Linked DNA regions of Tamandua tetradactyla. Each later gene encodes a partner of the first gene's protein in a complex. Links are inferred from orthologs where the notes say so. Each region holds a gene or a part of one and is shown in the gene's direction. Other genes may lie near its edges. The genes, in order: ADRM1, SEM1 and UBQLN2.

Evidence for each region.
Region 2: ADRM1 (region 1) and SEM1 share a complex: the UniProt entries of both Homo sapiens proteins name them as parts of the 19S proteasome regulatory particle complex. The link is inferred for Tamandua tetradactyla from reciprocal best matches to the Homo sapiens genes ADRM1 and SEM1.
Region 3: the proteins of ADRM1 (region 1) and UBQLN2 are in contact, whole or in part, in an NMR structure (PDB 2NBV), measured with the Homo sapiens proteins. The link is inferred for Tamandua tetradactyla from reciprocal best matches to the Homo sapiens genes ADRM1 and UBQLN2. Residues at the interface, in NP_008933.2 of Homo sapiens: Asp54, Ser55, Leu56, Asp72, Leu73, Ile74, Phe76, Pro77, Asp78, Asp79, Phe98, Lys99, Ala100, Gly101, Lys103; in NP_038472.2 of Homo sapiens: Lys38, Ile75, Phe76, Ala77, Gly78, Lys79, Ile80, Leu96, Thr97, His99, Val101, Lys103.

Annotation. Positions count from the first base shown.
Region 1 is NC_135327.1:59,869,043-59,876,664, forward strand, and holds the start of ADRM1 (proteasomal ubiquitin receptor ADRM1), read left to right. Parts: upstream 1-4,596; 5' UTR 4,597-4,731; intron 4,732-4,828; exon of another isoform or gene 4,829-5,139; intron 5,140-5,192; exon of another isoform or gene 5,193-5,297; intron 5,298-5,579; 5' UTR 5,580-5,580; coding exon 5,581-5,793; intron 5,794-6,650; coding exon 6,651-6,767; intron 6,768-7,622. UniProt on the Homo sapiens protein: Component of the 26S proteasome, a multiprotein complex involved in the ATP-dependent degradation of ubiquitinated proteins.
Region 2 is NC_135327.1:119,113,663-119,121,092, forward strand, and holds the start of SEM1 (26S proteasome complex subunit SEM1), read left to right. Parts: upstream 1-4,334; 5' UTR 4,335-4,463; coding exon 4,464-4,539; intron 4,540-7,430. UniProt on the Homo sapiens protein: Component of the 26S proteasome, a multiprotein complex involved in the ATP-dependent degradation of ubiquitinated proteins.
Region 3 is NC_135353.1:112,470,118-112,477,312, reverse strand, and holds UBQLN2 (ubiquilin-2), read left to right. Parts: upstream 1-4,164; 5' UTR 4,165-4,179; coding exon 4,180-6,051; 3' UTR 6,052-7,193; downstream 7,194-7,195. UniProt on the Homo sapiens protein: Plays an important role in the regulation of different protein degradation mechanisms and pathways including ubiquitin-proteasome system (UPS), autophagy and the endoplasmic reticulum-associated protein degradation (ERAD) pathway.

The DNA of each region.
Region 1 (7,622 bases):
GGAAAGATGAACCCCAACCCTTTGTGGGGGGGGGGGGGGCGCCTGCCCTTTTGTTGGCTACACATTTGCGTGCTGAGTGCTGACCTCAATAGAAGGACCCATGTGCTATTTTAAAAGTAGCCTTTAACTTGGAACCGCCTCATGAGAAATTTTGTTTCTCAACAGAGCTTTGTATTTTTAAATTTTGTTCCTAATTGAATTTAGGACTCAGTTATGCGTTCATTGATTTAATGCACAGGTATCAAGGGCCCTGGAGGTTTAAGGACAAAAAGACAGACACCCTTAAAGTCCACTGTATGTGAAAGAGAAACGTGCTGTGGTGCTCCCAGGGCTGCGGAGGGTGGCAGGGAGGAGTGTAGGCTGTCCTCCTTCTGCTCTGTCTGCCTGTGGGCTCCCTGTCTGGGCTGTGGGCTCTCCATCCGGACCGGGGCTCCCCCGACTGTGTTGAAGCTCCCCAAAGCCAGAAGGGAGCAGAAAGGCAGGCTCTGAGCCCTTTATGGGCATCATGGGACTTTGCCACTCCAGCCTGCCCTGGAAACCAGAACCGTGATGGGCCTTTGATGAGGAAGGTGCCCAAAGGGACCTCTGCTTCCTTATAGACATGAATGCTCAGGAGGGAGTTTCTGGAGCCTTCCATGAAGGAATGGGCAGGCCCTCAGGCTGCAGGCCAGAGCAGGGACTCTCTGAGGGGCGCTCGTTTACTTTGGGGCCACTGCCTTCTTTCAGCTCACAGTTCTGCCTGTTTAAAAATGAGAGCCACGAGCTGCCAGCGAGGCTGCAGTGGGGAGAATAGCTCTCTAGTTGTGGCCACTGGAGAAGGAGCTAAGCGCAGCTTGGATGGGCCCTGGGGCCTTGAGCCAAGAGCACCGCTGGCCATAGTTGTGGGGTGGTGGCCTGTGCTTGCTGGGTCCTCTGAACACTAAGCTGGGCCACTAGTAGGATGCAGGTGAGCAAGCAGCAGGGAGCTTCCCTCAAGGACACTGCTCTCTGGGTAGGATTTCTACCTGGCACAAGCGTTACAGGCCTCCGTGAAATGAAGAACAGAGTGAGGCTTTTAATAGTGTTCAAGTGTTCAGAAGCACTGAGCGCCCTGCCCTGCTTCACGCTTGGGTTTGCATGGTAGTGAAGAGTTGTATCCACACAGAACGATTGAAGCAGGGAAGAGTGCAACCGTCAGTTTCTACTAAGCCTAGTTTCTTCCTGTCTCAACATTAGCTTCCAAAGAACTTCCCTACATCCGACTTAGGTACAGAGGAGATCTTGAAAATCACTAGCCTTGGGCCACACACCTTCGTGAGCCTCTCCGGGGACCTGTCCTGCCGTCATCTACATTCTCAGTGTGAGATATTTGCAAAGTGAAGCCAAACTTTGAGGCCTTTCTTGGTTCGACGTTTGCTGGACAGCAGCCTGTCCTTAACCAACTGCCATGTGGCCTTTTTGTTGTGAGTCAGATCCTTAGTGCTGCGGACTTGACCCTGTGGAGGGTGGACACGACACACGTGTCCAGCTGTCCCCACCCACTCTGTGCCTGTCCCAGGGACTCCTCGGGCTGCCCGTTCCTGGGTGTTTGGCTGGTCCTTTGCCACACTGAGTTTGTCTGTCAGTATAGTGTGAGAACATGGGCAAGAAAAGACATTCGTGAAATGGGCTTATTTCTATATTACTTGATAGCCCTCAGTACCCATTTGTACTAACAGAATCAGTCATTCTTAGATATTTTTTTGAAGACTGTGTACATGTCTGTGGAGATAAAAAATTCTAGCTCTGAATAAAAGTTCTTTGAAAATGGGTTATATATTGATATTTCTTTCTCAAACAATTTTTCATTGTCTCAGCCACTCTTGCGTTTTGGGAGAGGGCTGCAAATCTGCCGCAGATAAGCTCTTGTTCCCAGATATCAGGTCCTTGAACCATCTGTTCTTTGGGATCAGCCCAGAAAATGGATGGTTTCTGGAAAATGCTGGACCCAGAGGGGGATGAAGGACCACTCACAACACAGTTGGATGGCTACAGTTGGTGGACTAGGAGTCCTGGGTTCTCTGAGCGGTGGGAAGTTCGGGTTAACTAGCCCTTTCCCAGGGATCGGGGCCTGTCCCGAAGCCCTAGGCATCCAGGGCTTGTGCTGGCCTGACTGCAGCTTCCCACTGCTGGGTGTCTGCCCTCCACAGCCCCGACGGCTGCCTGCTGTCCCTGGGCTGCCGTGTTTGGGCTCTGGGAAGACGTACAGCCAGTGCCTCCCAGAGTTCCCACCGTGCAGTCCTGCCGGGCTCTGGGACTGGTGTCACGGTCTCCCCAAAGTGACCGCCCAGCCTGGTTCCCAGAGGAGACAAAGGAGGTGCTGGAGGTGGACTTGCCAGGGCCTCGCATCTGGAGTCGGGGAGTTCACCTTTAGCTGGGCGGTCAAGTCAGGGGAGTTTTGACAAACACATCCTTCCTGTCTTGTAAGTGCCACCACAGTCAAGACTCAACCATTGCCCGCACCCCAAAAATTTCCCCCGTGCCCCTTTGTAGTCAGCCCCAGCAACCACTGATCAGCTTTTGTCCTGCAGCTCTGCCGCTCCCTCCAGGCTGGCTTCTTTCTGGAGCATGGGCAAGTGGGAAAAAATGTCACCTCAGACATGTACACAGGCCGTCCCTGTCTCTTGGCTGTAGACACCTGGGCGTGGAACGGCTGCATCATCGAGTGCGTGCATTTAAATGTCTTGTCTTCCCAGCACCACCCCGAACTCCCAGCACTTGGTACTGCCAGGACCGTTCCCTTTGTTTTTCCTTTGTTTGCCTTTTAGCCATTCTAATAGGCGTGTTTTAATTTGCATTTCCTTTATGACTAATGATGTTGAGCATCTTTTCATGTGCTATTTGCCATCTGTCTGTCCTCCTCTGTGAAACGTCTGTTCATGTCTTCTGTCCACTTTTAAATGCCATCCGAGGGACAGCCACCTTTCATCTAAGGGCCTCAGCTCGGGTCCAGCTGTTGGGTTTGTTTGTGCTTCCCTCCACCCACCCCCAAAACAAGGCTATAGAGACTGTTTCCTTTAGGGGATCTGCTTAGTTAGCCCAAACCCCTTAGCTGAATACACATCTTGGAGGTGCTGTTTTGTTTTTCTAGAAGCTAAAGACATGTTGCAGGTGTTGTCCACTACCTTGGATAAATCAACGATCAATTATAAAAATGACAACTGCTGTTTCTGGAGTGCCAGGCCCTAGCTGACCTTGACCTGTCTCCTCTTGTTTCCTGCCAGCCGCCCAGGCAGCCCTGCTCAGTCAGGCTGGACTAAGGACGCGCCGGGGGCCACCTCTGCGGCGGGGGCTGCTGGCAGGCACTGGCCTCTCCCAGGGCCCTTCAGGCAGTGCACACAATGAGCAGAGCAGGCAGAGGGGCAGAGGTGACAAGAGAGGCGTCCACATGCCTGCCCCCGAAGCGTGTTTCCTGACTGTAGAGCTTTCAAAGAAATTGTTGTGCAAAGACTTTCGTGTCTTTTGTTTGTGTTTTGAGTCAGCTCGGGACACAAGGCTCCCCTAGCGTGAACAAAAAATGCCACATTTAGGGGCCCCTCTGAGGCCACTGCCCCCAAGGGAAGCACTGCCTTGGGGTGCTGCTAATTTGGTCTCTTGTGTTCTCCAGGGCAGTCCTTAAATTTCCTTGAGTTTGAACAAATGACACTTGCCAGTGGCCTCCTTTCTGGGAAGTTAAATCGAATGCCCTCAGTTTTTTCGACTTTTTTCCACAGGGGCACGGCACGGGTCACCCAACTGGCAGGAGCAGGGTCCACTCACCAGCATCTGCACCTGCACTTCCGCCAGCCATTCCCAATCTGTTTGGTGTCCCTTCTCTACCAATGAGCTTTTTGTTTATGAAGGTTTTATGTATTGGTATTTACCTTAATAGATATTAAAATGAAAGTTTAAAATATTAATTTAAAAGCAACAGTTAAAAACCCACATTTAACAAATGATCTTTTTAATGAAAAAATAGCTATATTTTCTAAAACAAAAAATTCAGTGAATCCTTAAATCAATTAAATTTTTTTTCAGTTGAAGCATTCTAATAGTGAAAAACTGGAATAAGTGCCCATCCAGAAGACGGTGGAGTGGTAGGAAAAGTCAGCAGTGAGAGCCAGAGCGCGGCTTAACATTTTTGCCAACCTCTGGCCTGTCCGACCAGATGACAGCTGCAAGCGACCCGCGGGGAGCCCGTCCAGGCCCTCCACGCCCGGAGCTGCTCCGCGGGGCCCGGGAGTCCCTCACGCGGGCGGCCACGCTCCCAGGGCGCTCCCCGCCGCCTTCGCTGCAACTGGTGTCAGTTAATTCAGGGACGTGGCACTGACCCTGCCTCGCCCACGTCCCACGTCCCACGAGCAGCTCTCGGCTGCGGCCCCAGATGCCGCAGCTCCTTAGACCCCGGCGCGCCACCCTCCACCCAGCCGCGCGCTTCCCGGCGCCGCCAGTAGGGGCCGCCGCCGCTCCCCGATGACACAGCAACAATGGGGGCCGCTCTGCCCGCCCGGCGCGGCCGCGCTTCCTCCGGCGCCGGGGGCGGGATGCGCCGATGAACGGCCGCTTGCACCAATCGCTGGTGGGTCATGGCCAGGTGCTCCGCCGAGGACGCCCAATCGGCTGGCAGAGCGGCGTGTGGGCGGGGAGAACGGGCACTTCCGGCGGGGCCCCGCCGCCGCGGACGAGGAAGAGAGAAGCCGTCCCGCGCAGCTCGGCAGTCTCCGCGCAGGCTAGGTGCTACTGCCGGCCCGGGGCGGTGAGGGGTGGGGCAGCGGACGGGGTCTGCGCCGCCCGCTGGCTCCGTGGGAGGCCGTCCGTTGGCCCCCGAGTCCACCCGGGAAGGCCCGAGGCCGGCGTGCCCTGGGCTGGGGGCCCGAGCGGCAGGGCCGCCCCCTCCAAACCCACTCTTCCCCGGGGATTCCAGTTAGCGGCCCCGGGCCTTCAGTGGCCGGGCGTCCTGCTTGGCTTGGGGTGCGGAGGGTGGGCTCGCGGCGGGGAGCCCCTGCCTTCCGGACCGGGCTTGGCGGAGGCCGGCGGAGTGCCCTTCCCGGTGACCAGCAAGTCAGAGCCTGCCCTGACTTCCCAGAGTGGCCGGCTTCTCTTTTTTAAGGGGAAAGACGCCGTGGGGTTGCAGTTTAGCAGGCGCGTGTTAAGACAAATTAGTTGTTTGAACCCAAAGCCCCGCCTTGGATTTCATGTCTGTATTTTGGCCACCTCCGCTCGAGTTCTTAAAATTCTTGGGAGCTCAGGACACAAAACAAGACTTACTCAGTTCGAGGCTCAGAGCCATATGGACAGAGGTGGTATCCATGTTGCGCGTACAGAAGCTCAAGTCTGGCCCTCTTACTTGACTCAGTTGTACTCTTAGAGCTCCTGGCCCCTAACCCTGAGGAAGTTTTGCTTAGATCAGGCGGGGAGGCCAGCAGGGCAGCTGTCCTCGGGGGTCTTCACAGCCCCAGCACAGAAGTAGGGTGTTTCAGAGCTGGGCCAGCTGTGACGTTTGAGGAGGAAATGGAGAATTTTGGTGCTAACGAACACACAAGATGCCCCCTGGGTCTAAGTGCTGGTTTCTTTCTTTGCAGGATGACGACGTCTGGTGCCCTGTTTCCTAGCCTGGTGCCAGGCTCTCGTGGATCCTCCACCAAGTATTTGGTGGAGTTTCGGGCAGGAAAAATGTCACTAAAAGGAACTACCGTCACCCCGGATAAACGGAAAGGGCTTGTGTACATTCAGCAGACCGATGATTCCCTCATTCACTTCTGCTGGAAAGACAGGACATCAGGGAACGTGGAAGATGTAAGTAGCCGTAAGCTGACGCTTCATCCTAAGAAAGCCCAGTGAACTCTCCTCAGAACAGTAGTTTTCTAAAAGAAAGTGTTGCTGCCATCTCTACGTACTCTGAGCACAGCACTGGCTGTTTGACAGTTCAGAATGATTTTTGTGGCTTCGCAGTTGGTGGTGGTGGTATTGGGGTGGGGGTTGGTTTGACACCTCATGGGCCATTTGCTTTGTTTACGGCTCTTCCTTGTCTTGATTAAATGGACGTCTCCCTGCGCTGTAGGTCCCTGAAACTTTAATGTCAGGTGCCCGGGACTAGAGGAGCCACGTTACTGGCTTGACTTTTATTATTATCCTCAAGAAGGCTTTCTCCAGTAGCCACTTTATTTAGTGTTGCTCGTTCTTCAGACTAAATTGTTCCTTTTCCATTTGAGAGTGGGTTATTTTGAGAGCATGTGTCTGGGAGCAGTTGATCTAGTTGTGTATAAAACTAAATGATATGGATACCAGAAACATTTAAAAGTAGAATTCCTTAAGTTAAAAAAAAAGGGGGGGGGGTTGAAAAAGGGTAGTAACAATAGCATTGTCCTCACAGCATCTCTGTTAAAAACTTCAGGATCTGAAAACCCGCCTTCCCTAGTCCCCATTGCAGGCCCTGTGAGTGGCTGGACCCGCCCTCCTTCCCACCTTCCTCCTCGCTCTGCCCTTCCTGCTGCCTCTGACCTGGCTGACCCGCCCTGTGGGATCCGCTGGTGAGGGACTTGGGGGCTTCCTGCTCTCTGCCCCCACATCCACCAGCCCAGGGCCCAGCCTGTGTTGGAGCTGTTGAGGTGCAGGCATCGCCTGCTCACTGCTCTTCCCTCCTTGCTCCATAGGACCTGATCATCTTCCCCGATGACTGTGAGTTTAAGCGGGTTCCGCAGTGTCCTAGTGGGAGGGTCTATGTGCTGAAGTTTAAGGCAGGGTCCAAACGGCTCTTCTTTTGGATGCAGGTATGTGGAAAGTTTTTTCTCGTGTTTTGTCTCTTCTTGCTTTTGTACCCTGTATGGTAGAATCTGCTTTGACAGACCGGTTGGTGTGGACCAAATGAGCACAAATTTCAGTGTATTAACTTGCATCAAGAGTCGTGGAGGGGAATGTCCCATCCCAGGGCCTGGGGACTGGTGGCTGGGCCCTGCGGCACCCCCGATTTGCAGAGTTGGGTTTCCCAGCAGGCAGACATGAGTGATTTCAGCTAGGATGCACCTCTGGCATCTGGGGGGCACTTTGCCCTCCTTTCGTAACCCACTGCCCACCTCACAGGTTCCCGAAGACACCCCAGAGCAGAGAAGCAGAAGTCGACTGTGTCCCACTCCCCACTGCACTTAGAGAAGGGAGCACCATCTCCACACCCCTCTGAGCCTGCTTTCTCCCTGCGTGGGGTGTTTTGGAGGTGCTTGCGTGTCAGCACACAAAGGCGGCCTTGCTCCCCACAGCTGTAGAGAATTCCACTGAATACACCAGCATCAGTTCTACCCCTGACTGGTGGCCTTTGAGCTTGTTTCATTTCTTTTGCTGCCACAGGCCATGTTGCAAATATTCTTAAACACACGTTACTTCCTGTGTGTGAGCATAACCTGTGCGTTAATGTCTAGCAGTGGGCCTGCTTTATGCCCAGGGTGGATGTGTTTTTGTGGTTTTGGCTGGTGTGGCCACATCCCCTCCCCAGAGGCTGACCCAGCTGTCCTCCTCCCACAGCTGGGTAGTGCTGGGTCCCTTTCTTTGAGGGCCAGAGAAGAAATGGTTTCCTGTCTCATGCTTACTCTATCTGGTAGCATGGAAACAGCATGGATGCTGTGTCAATGAAT
Region 2 (7,430 bases), about 59 Mb from region 1:
TCACCAGACAGTGACTTCAGCAGAGAAAGGCTTTTAATAATCAAATGGATAAGATGACCTGTTCTATGGATACCAGTCAGCCTCTTCCCCCCAGCCACTCCTATCATTGCCCAATGAACTCATGAACAAAGTGGTCATGGTGGTAGGGATGGAGGTTATGCATGGGCTCAGCAAAATAGAATTCCACTCACCAAGGCTAACCTGGCTATAGCTAATACTGAGTGCCCAATCTGCCAGCAGCAGAAACCCATACTCAGTCCCTTATATGACACCATTGCCCAAGGTGATCTGCCTGCTACCATGTGGCAGGTTGATTACATTTGACCCACTTCCATCATGGAAGGGGCAGGAATTTGTTGTAACTGGAATAGACATATACTGCAGATATGGGTTTGCCTTCCCTGCATGCAATGCTTTTGCCAACACTACCATCTGTGGACTTATAGAATGCCTTATCCACTATCATGGTATTCCACATAGCATTGCTTCTGATCAAGGAATGCATTTCATGGAAATGAGGTATGGAAATGGGCACACTTCATTTCAGATGGATTCTCTGGATTTACCGTGTTCCCCATCATTCTGAAGCAGCTGGATTGAAAGAATGGTGGAATGGCCTTTTGAAGACTCTATTACCACCCCAGTTAGGTGGTAATACCTTGCAGGGCTGGGACAGTGTTTTCCAGGAGGCTGTGTATGCCCTCAATTAGTGTCTACTCTATGGTGCTGTTTTTCTCATAGCCAGTATTTATAGCACCACTCACTGTCACTCCTAGAGTTCCACTAGAAAAATTTTTGCTTCCTGTCCCTGCAATCTTAAGCTTTGCTGGTCTACAGGTCTTAGTTCCAAAAGGAGGAGTGCTTCCTCCAGGAGACACAACAATGATCCCACTGAACTGTAAGTTAAGACTGCTATCTGGCCACTTTGGGCTTCTCTTGTTCTGAATCAACAGGCCAAGAAAGGAATTACTACAATGGCTGAGATGATTGATCCTGACTATCAAGGGGAAATAGGACTGCAACTACATAGTGGAGGTAAAGAAGAGTTTTCCTGGAACACAGGAGATCCACTAGGACATCTCTTAGTACTACCATGCCCTGTGATTAACATCATTGGAAAACTGCAACAACCCAATCCAGGTAGGACTATTAATGGCCCAGAAACTTCAGGAATGAAGATTTGGGTCACCCCACCAGGCAAAGAACCATGGCCAGCTAAGGTTCTTGCTGAGGGTAAAGGAACATGGAATGGGTAGTAGAATAAGGTAGTGTTAAATATGAACTATAACCACATGATCAGTTACAAGAATGAGGACTGTAATGGTATGAATATTTCTTCATTTTGTTATGAGCACATTTGTATTGGTACATAAGGAAATATCTATGTTTTCTTTTCTATCTTATCCCCTATCATATGACATAAGTTTTATTATTCATGTCATAGTATTTAAGTTGAAATAAGTTTAAGAGTGAATATTACCCAAGGACTTGCACCCTATTCTGCAGAGAGTTTGTCCATTTCTGGTTGTATACAAGACAATTGAATATTAATAAGTGAAAACTATGTCTGTTATTGTTTTTTATTTAGATATTAAGCATGGCTTAAAGTGATGTGTATAGCTGCCAAATTGACAAGGGGTGGACTGTGATGGTTAGGTTTATGTGTCAACTTGACCAGGTAATGGTGCCCTGTTGTCTGGTCAAGCAAACCATTACTGCGAAGACGTTTCATGGACTTAAATCATCAGTAAGTTGATTGCATCTATGACTGATTAAATCCATACTCAACTAAGGAGAGTTTCTTCAGCAATGAGAGACATTTAATACAGTTGGTTGACATATAATCCAAAGAAGAAGTCAGAAGAGAGAACCTCTCTTTCTCTACTTCAGAATTCACTGAAAACCAGCAGAGTTGGCAGCTTGCAACCTGCCCTACAGAATTTGGACTTGTGCATCCCTGCAGTTGCATGGGCTATTTTAATAAAATCTCATATTTACAGAAATCTCCTTTCGGTTCTGTTTCTCTAGAGAACCCTGACTAATATTGGAGGCTGAGATATTTTAAAATTTAAGTCCTTTCTTTAATAATAGCTCATATGTATTGATTGTTAATTATGTGTCAGGTATTGACCATGTATTTTATATACATGACCTCATTTAATTTCCACTATAATTGTGGAAATGACTCAAATGCATTTCAGAGAAATTAAGTAATTTGCCTAAGTCCACTGTTTACAAAGAATTTATCCAGGATTGATATCCTGATTCATCAAATATACATTCATATGTGCTTAATTTAATTAAGCAATAATGCCTCTAACACTTTAATAACTTTCATTTCTCAAAAATTTTCCATGTGCCATGACCATTAAAATGAGAAGTTGCTCACTGTGCCATGTACCATGACAACTAAAATGAAAAGTTATTTCTCAGTTCCCAGTCTTCCGATTTCATGTAGCAGTAAAATTTTCTTTAAAAAAGAATGGGTAGGGTGGGCAACTGTGGCTCAGCAGGCAGAGTTTTTGCCTGCCATGCCGGAGACCTAGATTCGATCACTGGTGCCTGCCCAAGCAAAAAAAAAAGAATGGGTAACTGATATTATTGGTTTTGCATTTATTCATTTAAATTGGATTAATAAAGTTTTAGAGGGAAAAATCACAATATTGCTGTTGAGTTTTCCCTTTGCTAAGGACTGATGACTCAAACTTCATCATGTAACAGATGAAGAGAATAATAAATCCAAGAACTAGAATTTGAATTTCCTAATTGATTCTATGGGCAAATCTTTAACTGTACAAAATGGCTGTCTCAATTCTGTAATTTGCTTTTTTAAAAAAAAATACAATTTTTTTGAGCTATATTCACACACTATACAAACCATCTGAATTACACAATTACTGGCTCACAGTATCATCACATAGTTGTGCGCACATGTGATTTTCTTTTTATTCTTTGCTGCCTAAGTCAAGCTGCCTACCCAAAGCTTCACCTTGGTGTGTGGTTCCCAGTAACATGGGGATGATAAGGAATATGTGACTCTAAGGGACCTCATCAAGTGAGCAAATGCTACCATACAAACTACTTTAATATGCAGGATTATAATACATACTTTTAAAATGTACTTAGAATTTTTTATTTTGCTCATTTTTCTCTTCTTTTATTAATTTGGTATTTATTTATATAACATGCCAAATTACATCTATTTCAGCCTAGTTTTAAGACCACCAATATTTTCAGTAAGCATTTCAGATCAAAGTACTATTATAGGGGCTTTTTAAAAATTACACCTAATTGTGGATCCAAATTTGTTTTCTCTTTAGTTGCTCTATTCTCTGTACTCCTGTTCAAATAATTCCCCACATAATTTTATTTTAAAATGGAGATTCAAATAAATTACCATGTTTCATTGTGATTTATCTGTTTACATGTCTCTGAGTGAAATATGAGGGGAAGGACTTTATGTTACATGTTTGATTTCTAGCACAGGACCTGGTATGTGGTGTGAACTAATGTTTTGAATGAAGGAATGGGTTTTAAATACACAAACACATGTATCTAAATTTACAATTATAGTCAATTATATGTATATTTATATATGATCCAAAATATTCATCTGCGTTCATCCATATTGCATATCCATATATATTACATATAGAGTTCCATATCGTTTGCCACTATATTCAAAATGATAATCAACATGAATGCAAAATGACATATTTTGAATACATGTTACAAATATCCATTTTAACAGTATTATTTTATAATATTCTGTTAAGAGTTTCTCTCTATCTATCTATCGATCGATCTATCTAAAAGGAGAGAGAAACTCTTGTTAACATGTTATTCACCACACAGTAATTCCCAGACAGAGGAAAAAGCATAATGGACAAGTATGGAAGGCAGGCAAATATATATGCATATATACATTCTCTAACACTACCTGAGTGACTTTTGCTGTTCTTTCCTGAACCTGAATTTTCGGTGATGTGGAGATACTTAATCTCATGCCTAGTAACTGGTTTAAGGACTGGAGGAAAGGAATGTTAAGGGATTGGCACTTGGTGGGCCTTTTATGAATATAAGTAAACTAGATCTTTATGCAGTCTACCTCTTTAGATTTCCTGTCTCAACTGTAAACCAAGTAAAAGTGTTTAATTTTTCTGCATATTATGTATCTTTCCCAGTCAGGGAAACCTACAGTGAACACAAATTCGACAATTAAAAGTGTCCACTTAAAATGGTGAAGACGCAAATAACCCACTAACTCTGAACGACCGCTAAACCCTCAGGAAGCGCTGGGCGGACCTCAGTATCCCAGCATTCACCGCTCTGTTCCGTAGCTCTGCCCTGGCGTCTCTATGGTAGCGCCGGCCTCGGAGACGGTCGCTGTGCGAAGATTGCTGTAAGGAAGAGTGAGGCTTCCTTTCTCCTTTCTGGCCTCGCTTTGGGTGCGGAGAGTCGTGATGTCAGAGAAAAAACAGCCGGTAGACTTGGGTCTCCTAGAGGAGGACGACGAGTTCGAGGAGTTCCCTGCCGAAGGTAACTGGCCGAGCCCTTCGGCCTCTGTGCCCGCGGACAGTGACTCAGGCCTCCGAGTGGAAGCGGCGTGTCCGCTCGGGCCCGACTCTGGGGCCCCGGCGAGAAGTCTGGCTCTCCGCAGCGCTCTCGTAAGGCCCTGGACGCCCGACCCTCCGCGTCCCTGCCTTCGGCTCCCGGCTGTCACCGTGGGAGTCACGGGCGAGGTCAAACGGCTTCTCCTTTGGGAGGAGGCATGGCGACCCCGGGCTCCCAGCACTGTCCGACATGGCTCTTTTACACTTAAACTAGATTATCTTCCACCACGTTCATGTCTGTTTTATTTTCCCTTGTTTTAGCAGCTTTCGTTGCTAAAGAAGCTTTCGTTTCTTTCCAAAATTAAATTGTTTCCTGGTTATGCTAAGATGTTGCAAAGTGAAGCCTGTTACGTAGGACCGTGTTGTTTAATTCACGTATTGCCTTACGCTTGTTCATCATTTTTGGTCACTTAGTTTCGAACTAACTTTAAGTTTACTTCCATGGTTGCCAGGAGGACCTTTAGTTTTCTCAGTGAAGTTAATACCACATAACTATCATTTATAATCATAAATAGTAATACTTATTGAGTGGTTACTATGTTGACAGGCACTTGGGTACTGGTATTACAACTTTTCAGCTAAAGAAACAGAAGCTTGGAATGGTTGAGAAACTTGCCAGTTTTATTCAACTGGCTAGAAATGATGGAACTGAAATTAACTATTAGGTAGCTTTAGGTAGCTTTTCTGAAGGTGGTTGGTAGAAAGAAGAGTGATTAATGGTATACACATCTGTTTTATTAAGCAGTTAATGCTTCACTAAAATTGTCCTAGATTGTACCCCATCATGTTCCTATTGTGCTTAAAGGTATAAGCTGAAGCATTTATTTTATTTATCTTGTGCTCTGTTTTGTTTAGTGGAAGAGAACATTAGTATGAATGCTAGAGGAATTCAGACTAACCTAAAGCACATTTCTTTTGAATTCTGGAGTTCATTATATGTCGTGAGCGTTGTTTGGTTTTTGTATTTTTTTTGTTGGTTGATTTATCCAGTCAAGGTTTTTTTTTAACTCTCTTTTCAAGTTGATTGATAATCCCCAAACACTGAGCTATGTAGTAGAAAAGTGACTCACTGAGGGCAGGATTCACTTCTTAGTCAAACTTCATGTACATTTGATTTGTTTCAGCAACTTGTATTTCATCTGTTTTTACTTTGTGTAGTTTGTTCGTGTTCTAAGTTTATGTGGTGAGCAGCAAATTTTTGCTAGTTGCTAGTTACTTAGTAAAAGACTCCATCTAAAATGAAGAGGAAAAGCAAAGATGCTTAAAATATTTTCTCAAAAGACAAAGGCATCTCATGGTAGACTGGTTTGTAGTATTAAGTAACTCACCATTTATTGGTTACCTTACAGAATATTTGTTTTTAAGTTTGAAGTGGTACCTAATTCATTCTTGAGAAACAACAATGGCTTTTATTCAAGTAGTTTTCTTCTCTGGTTTATAGTTCGAATAGGTTTTCCTAACATGCTAATTTGAATTAGTGAGATTTTGCTGGAAACAAAGTTAGCTGGCTGGGTGAAATTACTAAATATTTACTAACTAATATAAACTGCTCTGATAAATAACAGGCAACTTGGAAAAGTGTTACTAAGGAATAATTTATCTTTGAGACTGTGTATTTCTTATATTTTTGGCCTAATCATGTTGAGTTGTCCTTGTTACTGAAAATATGATCCATGGACCAGCAGCCTTGATACTACCTGGGAGCCTGTTAGAATGCAGCATCTTGCCCTCACTTTAGACCTATTGAATCAGTCTCGACTTGACTAAGATTCCCAAGAGATTTGGGAATTAAAATTGAGAGGGGCTGCTTTTTAAAACATTGGCTTATTTTGAGTCTTTCAGTTTTGAGTTTTTGGTTCAATTATTAATTACTTTCAAGTGCTTTCCCTTTGGGTATTTGTGTGTGTGTGTGTGATTGTCTTTCTGGTAAATTTGCCATTAACAAACTTACTAGCAGATAAAAAATGAAATTACCGTTGTTAAGCATGCCTCTAACCATCTTAATACTACTGACCTTTAGGAAATCTTACTTTTAAAGGCCCTGATGAGTTTCAGGTCCTACACAGAATGGACGCTGTTCCTGTCTAAGGGAGTTTGCAGAATAGAGCCTGCCACATGAAAGCCATTACTGGTTATTACTGAAATTGTGTGTCCCTAATTTGACCAGCGAATTGTCTGCCTTTTGGCAGTGTTGTCCCTCCATCTCATCCTAGATAAGAACTTCTTTGGTGGGATGTTAATTTAGTCCTTTTAGGGAACGAGAACTTTTATTTTATAAAGGAACTGGAAGTTGTTCTTGTTGCGTTATGGAAAAATCTTAAGAATATTTAAAATGTAATTGAATTTGCCTTCAGAAGTAATGGTATTTGCAAGAGAATGCTAATAGGTATTCTATAATTTTTATTTTTTATTTTTTTATAGCCAATGAAACTGCTGGGTAGTTTGAAGAAATCAGGAGCAGGATTATTACCCATCTCCCTACCCACATTGGATAACTCCTGTGGTTATTGATGAGACTGTGTCTGTTGAGAAAGACAAAAAGCTGATGGCTCCCTAATGCTGTTCAGCATTCTGTAATAACAGAGGCACTCTCCCTTTTCCCTCACAAAGAAGTATGTTATCTTATACTGGTTTTTAACTCGGAGAATTTATTTGGGTGTCCGTTTACTCTGTGGGTGGGAGTGTGAAGTAACTACCAGCATTTAGTGAATAGAGGTTAAGGATTTTAAATGTCCTGCTATGCATAGACCGGTCCCACACAAGGAAAAATTGTACTATGAAAATTGCCATTGAAAAATATTTACATGTTGGATACCA
Region 3 (7,195 bases), on another chromosome or scaffold:
ACACGGTGTTTACTTTGAACAATTTTAAGCACTGTTCTAAGTGATTAACGTATGCTAATTTATTTGATTGTTAAAACAGCCCTTCATTTCACAGATGAAGAATACTGAGGGACAGAGATTATGTGCCCAATGTTATATAACTAATAAGTAGAAGTGATGAAACAAGGATTTGAATCTAAGTAGTCTGGATCTACTATGTCAAGATTGGATATTATATCAGTCATTAACTCTATAGACAGAAGAAAATGTTTCATTTATTTTAATTTGTATTGTTTTTTAATTTAAAGAAGATATTTTCCCTTTTTCTTCTTTCTCTTCCCTCCCTCCCTCTTTCCCTTTCCTTCTCCCTCCCTTCTTTGCTTTCTTCCTCTGTTCTACCCTTTTCTTCTTCCTCTTTGCCTTTGTTTTTCCTTTTGTAAGATACTAGCTCATGTCCTTTATCTATTTTTTTCCCTTGGGGTTTTCATTAATTTAAATAGATTTGTAAAATTGTGTGTATGTAAAGGATATTAAGACTTCATATTTTATATATGTTGCAATTTTTTATTTTGCCTCTAACTTTAAAGATTAAAAGTTTAACATTAAAAGTTTCTATTGTATTTTTGACATATACACGTTTCAAATTCTTATTTAACCAAACTCATCAATCTTTTCATTTATGGGTTTTTTTTTTGTTATTTAACCTAGTATTTTTCTGCAAATTTTATAATTTTATTTATCACCTGTAATTTATTTTAATATTTGACATGAAGAGCCACAGATGACTGTCTTTCCAACACTGTTAATGGTTCATTATTTTTCTTATGTTGTTTCTGTCATTTCAGTGGAAATTTGGTAAGGAGGGGTGGAAAATGCACAAACTCAGTCACCACCTTGAACAAGAAAGCTGATTTATTAAACAGATAATTATTTAACTACTTGCTCATTTTCATTCATGTTTTTTACATGGTCTGTTCAGGTTTTCTACTTCTTCAATGTATTTTGGTCATGTTATTTTCCTAGAAAAAATCGGTTTGCCTTTGTTATTAGCAGACATTTGCATGAAGTATTCCCTCACAATTTTTAAAAATCTCTCCTTCATCTGTGGTTAATCTACTCATGCAACCCAGTTTTGTTTGTCTTGCTACTGTTTGCTTAAGTTTCAGCTAACTAATATTGGGCATCTCACTAGTTAAGGCATGCTTGTTCAACTACGGAATGTTAATTTTATTTCACTGTAACTCATTAGAAACATTAAAATGGATGTATTTTGAAACAAAACACACAAAAAAAGCATGTGATTTATAAGAGAAAAGAGAATTCAAAGAAATGTGCTTGTTATGGACATCTTTGGGGAGGGTTCCAGCCTCCTTTTCTGTGTACTTTGGTGAGGGAATTGTGAGCTAAGAGAATCACTAAACTAATAGTGATTTATCTGATTGATTTGTTTTTTCAAAGAACCTCTTAGATTTATTTAACGAATTTTATTTTTGTGTGTTAATTCATTATTAATTGCTTTTTGCATTTTGTAGCTGGCACCCTGCTTTCCACATTATTTTCCTGTTGAACATTTTTAAACTTCTTTATATAAATGCCTAATTCTTTTATTTTCATTTTTGTGTTTAAGGTCTTCGAGTGTATAAATCTGATTCTGAGTTCATCCACATAGTATAACGTATATAAAATATTCTTAATCAGGAGCTTATTAAGAATTCAGATTCCTGGGCACTAGTATTTCAGTAAGTTTGGGGTGAGGTCTAGAAATTTGCATTTTTAGCAAGGGCTTCAGGTCACATTTAAGGAAACCCTATCCTAATTGTGACATATATTTTTCTCATTATTGTTATTTTTCTAAATAAGAACTTGGATTTGCATTTTGTTCCAAGAGTGTTTGGTTTTAATTTTCAAGTGGTTGAGTTTTTCATCCATATTAGCTTTGTTTATTAGAATGAAAGAAGGTGGCCTGTGATGTTTTCCTATTTTTCTTTTTTTTTGAGAAATTTAAGAATACACAAAAATACAAACAGTATTACAACAAATATTCATATTCTCACCACCCAGAATTAGCTATTGCTGATATTTTGCTTCCATTAAAAAACGAAATACCTTTTTATGGATTGAATTCAAGTTCCCTTTAATCACTATCTGGGTTTTATTCCATTTACTCTTCCTCAGGGTGTAACCACTGGTGCATCAAATATGTATGAATGCATCTATAAACACTATAGATGTTGTTTTGCATGTACTAATTAAGTTTTTTGAGATCTATACATATTGATATATTTAGATTGAGGTCATTCATTTTACCTTGTATTTTCCATTAATCATGTTAGTCATAATATATTAATCTCTATTCCCCTATTGATGGACCTTAGGTACCTGATTTTCTCTTAATCTTGAGATTTATTAAAGTATTGTGGCCTATGACTGTCAAATGATGTTAAATGTTCCTTGGATACTAAAGGAAAATAGAATTTTCTGGATGGTGTAAACCAGCTTTACAAATTTATCCATAAATTGGAAATTTATTGTATTATTCAAGTATTCTTTCTTAACATTACATCTCTATTTATCCTACTTAATTTGTAAAAGAATGAGGTAAATATATTAATAACTGCCACTAGTCATGTCAAACTCTACGTATATGCTTGTCTAAAAATAACTGCTTTTTAAAAAATTATGACTGCAGTGCTTACTTTTAAAAATCATCAGGAAATTCAAAACATTATTAAAAAAATAAGAATTATAACTTCAGCACTCAGCAGTAGCCATCATTAATATATTGGTATATAGTGTTCCAGATTTTTTACACATACAGTTTACTTATACAAACTGTTCAAAAAATAGTTTTAAAATAAAAATATCTTCATTGAAGTTTTTGGTATTAAAGCGTACATACTTGTAAAATTCCAAACTATACGGAAATATATAAAGCAGAAAGCAAAATTCTCTTACTTCCCTACAACTGATGTTTATTAATGTATGCCCTAAAGATTTTTTTATGCCATATAAATTAACCACACATTTTTAAACATAGTGCATATTATTTTATTGGTAATAGCATAAGGTATTTGATCGATCTGTGTAAACAAACACTGATTATCTTTTTAAAATGCTACTTTTAAAATGTTGCAGTGATATATATTTTATACATATATATTTTGCATAATTATCTGATTTTATCAGGTGAGGTCTCTGGATAAGGCATTTCTAAATAAAAGTAGAAATATTTAAAATGTTTGTATATATTTTCAAATTGCTTTATAGAATGAATGATTGTAATTCACACTTCAACTAGCATGAGAATGCATTTTGCCAACTCCCTGCCAACGGTAAGGTTTATCACTATTTTCCATATTTGCCAGCAAGGTAGGCCAAAAGTGGAATCTCATTGTTTTAATTTGAAATTTTTTTCATTACTAGCGAGATTGATCATCCTTTTATCTGCCTATTGGCCATTTGCACTTCTTTTGTAAAAATGTTCGCTTTTGTGCTGTAGTCTCCCCTTCCCCCATTGGGGGTGTTCCTTTTTTTCTTTTTGCTTTGTCAGAGTTATTATTCGTTTTTCGTCTTTTACACTGGATCGGTTCGATTCAGGCTTTTCACCTTTTCACTGCCTTATAGACTGCTAACATATATTCTCCATGGATTTTTAAATGCCGTATACAGAGACTCGCTCCTTCTCCTCCCTGCCTCCCTTCTCTATTTTTTTTTTTTTCTCTTTCTCTCTCTCCCCTCTTTTCTTTTCAGTACAGAAGTTTCTAATTTCCTCGGAGTCAAATCTATCAATCTGGGCTTGGCGCCGCGTCAGGAAAGGGGAGCCGGGAGGCGGGCGCCGAGCTGGGGGAGGGGAGGGAGGAGGGGAAGGGGCGTGGAGGAGCGGGCGGAGCGGCTGCGGGAGTTGCTGGGAGTGCTCGCGGTTTCATCACACGGCGGCGGCGGCGGCGGCGTTGGCGGCGTTGGCGGCGGACCGGAACCCTGATCGCTGAGACCTAGGCTCTAGGCTTACGTCGAGCTCTCTCACCATCGGAGCACCAGGAACCGGAGGAGGCAACGTTCGTTACAGAGGTACCGTGTTCCGCGCTCCCTGCCCGGCCCGGCCCGGCCCTATCCGTTGCGGCGGCGCCCCTTTCCTTCCTCCTTCCCTCGTTCTCTCGCCCGCCCGCGCCTTCCCTGCCCGCCTGCGTCACCGCGGCCGCCATGGCTGAAAACGGCGAGAGCAGCGGCCCTCCGCGCCCCTCCCGCGGCTCTGCTGCGGCCCAAGGCCCGGCCGCTGCCCCGGCCGAGCCCAAAATCATCAAAGTCACTGTGAAGACTCCCAAAGAGAAAGAGGAGTTCGCGGTGCCAGAGAATAGCTCGGTCCAGCAGTTTAAAGAAGCGATTTCGAAACGCTTCAAGTCCCAAACCGATCAGCTAGTGCTGATTTTTGCTGGAAAAATCTTGAAAGATCAAGATACCTTGATCCAGCACGGCATCCATGATGGACTAACTGTTCACCTTGTCATCAAAAGCCAGAACCGACCCCAGGGCCAGTCCACGCAGCCTAGCAGTGCCGCGGGAACTAATACTACCACGACGTCGACTCCCAGGAGTAACTCCACACCGATTTCTACAAATAGCAACCCGTTTGGATTGGGGAGCCTGGGAAGTCTTGCAGGCCTTAGCAGCCTGGGCTTGAGCTCGACTAGCTTTTCTGAGCTTCAGAGCCAAATGCAGCAGCAGCTCATGTCCAGCCCTGAGATGATGATCCAAATAATGGAAAATCCCTTTGTTCAGAGCATGCTTTCGAATCCCGACCTGATGAGGCAGCTTATTATGGCCAATCCACAGATGCAACAGTTGATTCAAAGAAACCCAGAAATCAGTCACCTGCTCAACAACCCTGATATAATGAGGCAGACCCTCGAAATCGCCAGGAACCCAGCAATGATGCAAGAGATGATGAGAAATCAAGACCTGGCTCTGAGCAATCTCGAAAGTATCCCAGGTGGCTACAATGCTCTAAGGCGCATGTACACTGACATTCAAGAACCGATGCTGAATGCCGCACAAGAGCAGTTTGGGGGTAATCCGTTTGCCTCGGTGGGGAGCAGTTCCTCTGGGGAAGGTACGCAGCCTTCCCGCACAGAAAATCGAGATCCACTGCCCAATCCATGGGCGCCACCACCGGCTACACAGAGTTCTGCGACCACCAGTACAACCACCAGCAGTGGCAGTGGGTCTGGCAGTAGCTCTAGCAATGCTACTGGAAACACCCTGGCTGCAGCCAATTATGTTGCTAGTGTCTTCAGTACCCCTGGAATGCAGAGCCTGCTGCAACAGATAACTGAAAACCCTCAACTGATCCAGAATATGCTGTCTGCACCCTACATGAGAAGCATGATGCAGTCGCTGAGCCAGAATCCAGATCTGGCTGCACAGATGATGCTGAACAACCCGCTCTTTACAGGAAATCCTCAGCTGCAGGAGCAGATGCGTCCTCAGCTCCCAGCCTTCCTGCAGCAGATGCAGAATTCAGACACACTATCAGCCATGTCAAACCCCAGAGCAATGCAGGCTTTAATGCAGATCCAGCAGGGGCTACAGACATTAGCTACAGAAGCACCTGGTCTCATTCCAAGCTTCACTCCAGGTGTGGGGGTGGGGGTGCTGGGAACCGCCATCGGTCCTGTAGGCCCAGTCACTCCCATAGGCCCCATAGGCCCCATTGTCCCGTTTACCCCCATTGGGCCCATTGGGCCCATCGGACCCACTGGCCCTGCAGGTCCTACTGGCCCTGCCGGTTCTACCGGCCCCACCGGGCCCACCGTGTCTAGTTCTGCACCGAGTGAAACCACGAGTCCGACGTCAGAATCTGGACCCAATCCGCAGTTCATTCAGCAAATGGTTCAGGCTCTAGCTGGAGCAAATCCTCCACAGCTGCCGAATCCAGAAGTCAGATTTCAGCAACAACTGGAACAGCTCAACGCAATGGGGTTCTTAAACCGTGAAGCAAACTTGCAGGCCTTAATAGCAACAGGAGGCGACATCAATGCAGCTATTGAGAGGCTGCTCAGCTCCCAGCCATCATAATTGCATTTCTGATCCTTGAAAAAAAATGTATCTTATTTTTGATAATGGCTCTTAAATCTTTAACACAGGCAAAAAAAAAAAAAACGACAACCCGTGCTTTATGTTTATTTGATTCTTTTAAATCTGTCTAGTTATAAATCTAATATGATGCATTTTAAGGTGGAGTCCTTCCTCCCTCTCTCCCTTCCCTCCCTCCCTCCTTCCCTCCTTCCCTCCTCTGTTTTGAATGGTGAGAATCAATGCTGTTTCACTCTAAGGTGTTGCATGCAAACACTTCTCTTTATTCTGCATTTATTGTGATTTTTGGAAACAGGTACCAACCTTCACAGTTGAGTGAATAAGTTTTGTCTTACAGATGTTTATTTGCATTTTAAGCATTAGCCTATGATAGTAATTTAATGTAGAATGAAGATATTAAAAACAGAAGCAAATCATTTGAAGCTCTCTAATTTGTGGTACAATATTGCTTATTGTGACTTTGGCATGAATTTTTGCTAGCAAAATGCTGTAAGATACCACTCATTGACCTTTTTGCTATGTTTGTACACGGTACAGTAAGCACAATTGGAACTGTACATCTTCTGGATAAATTACAATAGACTCTGTGAACAGAATATATGTAATCAAAATAAGAAAGAATACAAGAAATATTTCTGAAGCTAGGTATGTCTCCGAATCTTGTAGAATCTTACAGCATCTTTGATAAACTCAGTGAAAATGTTGGCTAGGCAAGTTGAGTTAAAATATAGTAGAAATGTTTATCCTGGTTATCTCTAAGTATACATTTAATTGTACAGAAAACTTACAGTGTACCATTGTGTTAACTTTTGCAGATAGACTGTAAATGACTTTAATCTTAGTGCAGCCTGAAGGATCAATGTAGTTATGCGAGAAAAGTGCTTTTTACCTAAGGCTTCCTTCTCAGTTTCTCTCATAAAGAGACAGACCCTAATGCATTTTGATTTGTAATTGGAAATGTAATTTTCACTGAAAGTGTCATGTGATGTTTCAACTACTTTTAACTGTTATGTATAAAGGAAACTGTATCTTTAGACTTTATCAGCTATTTCTCTTGTGCACAGGGAAAAATACATTAAAATGACTAAAAAAAATAAAAAATTAATTAAAATGGATAATTCTTTTC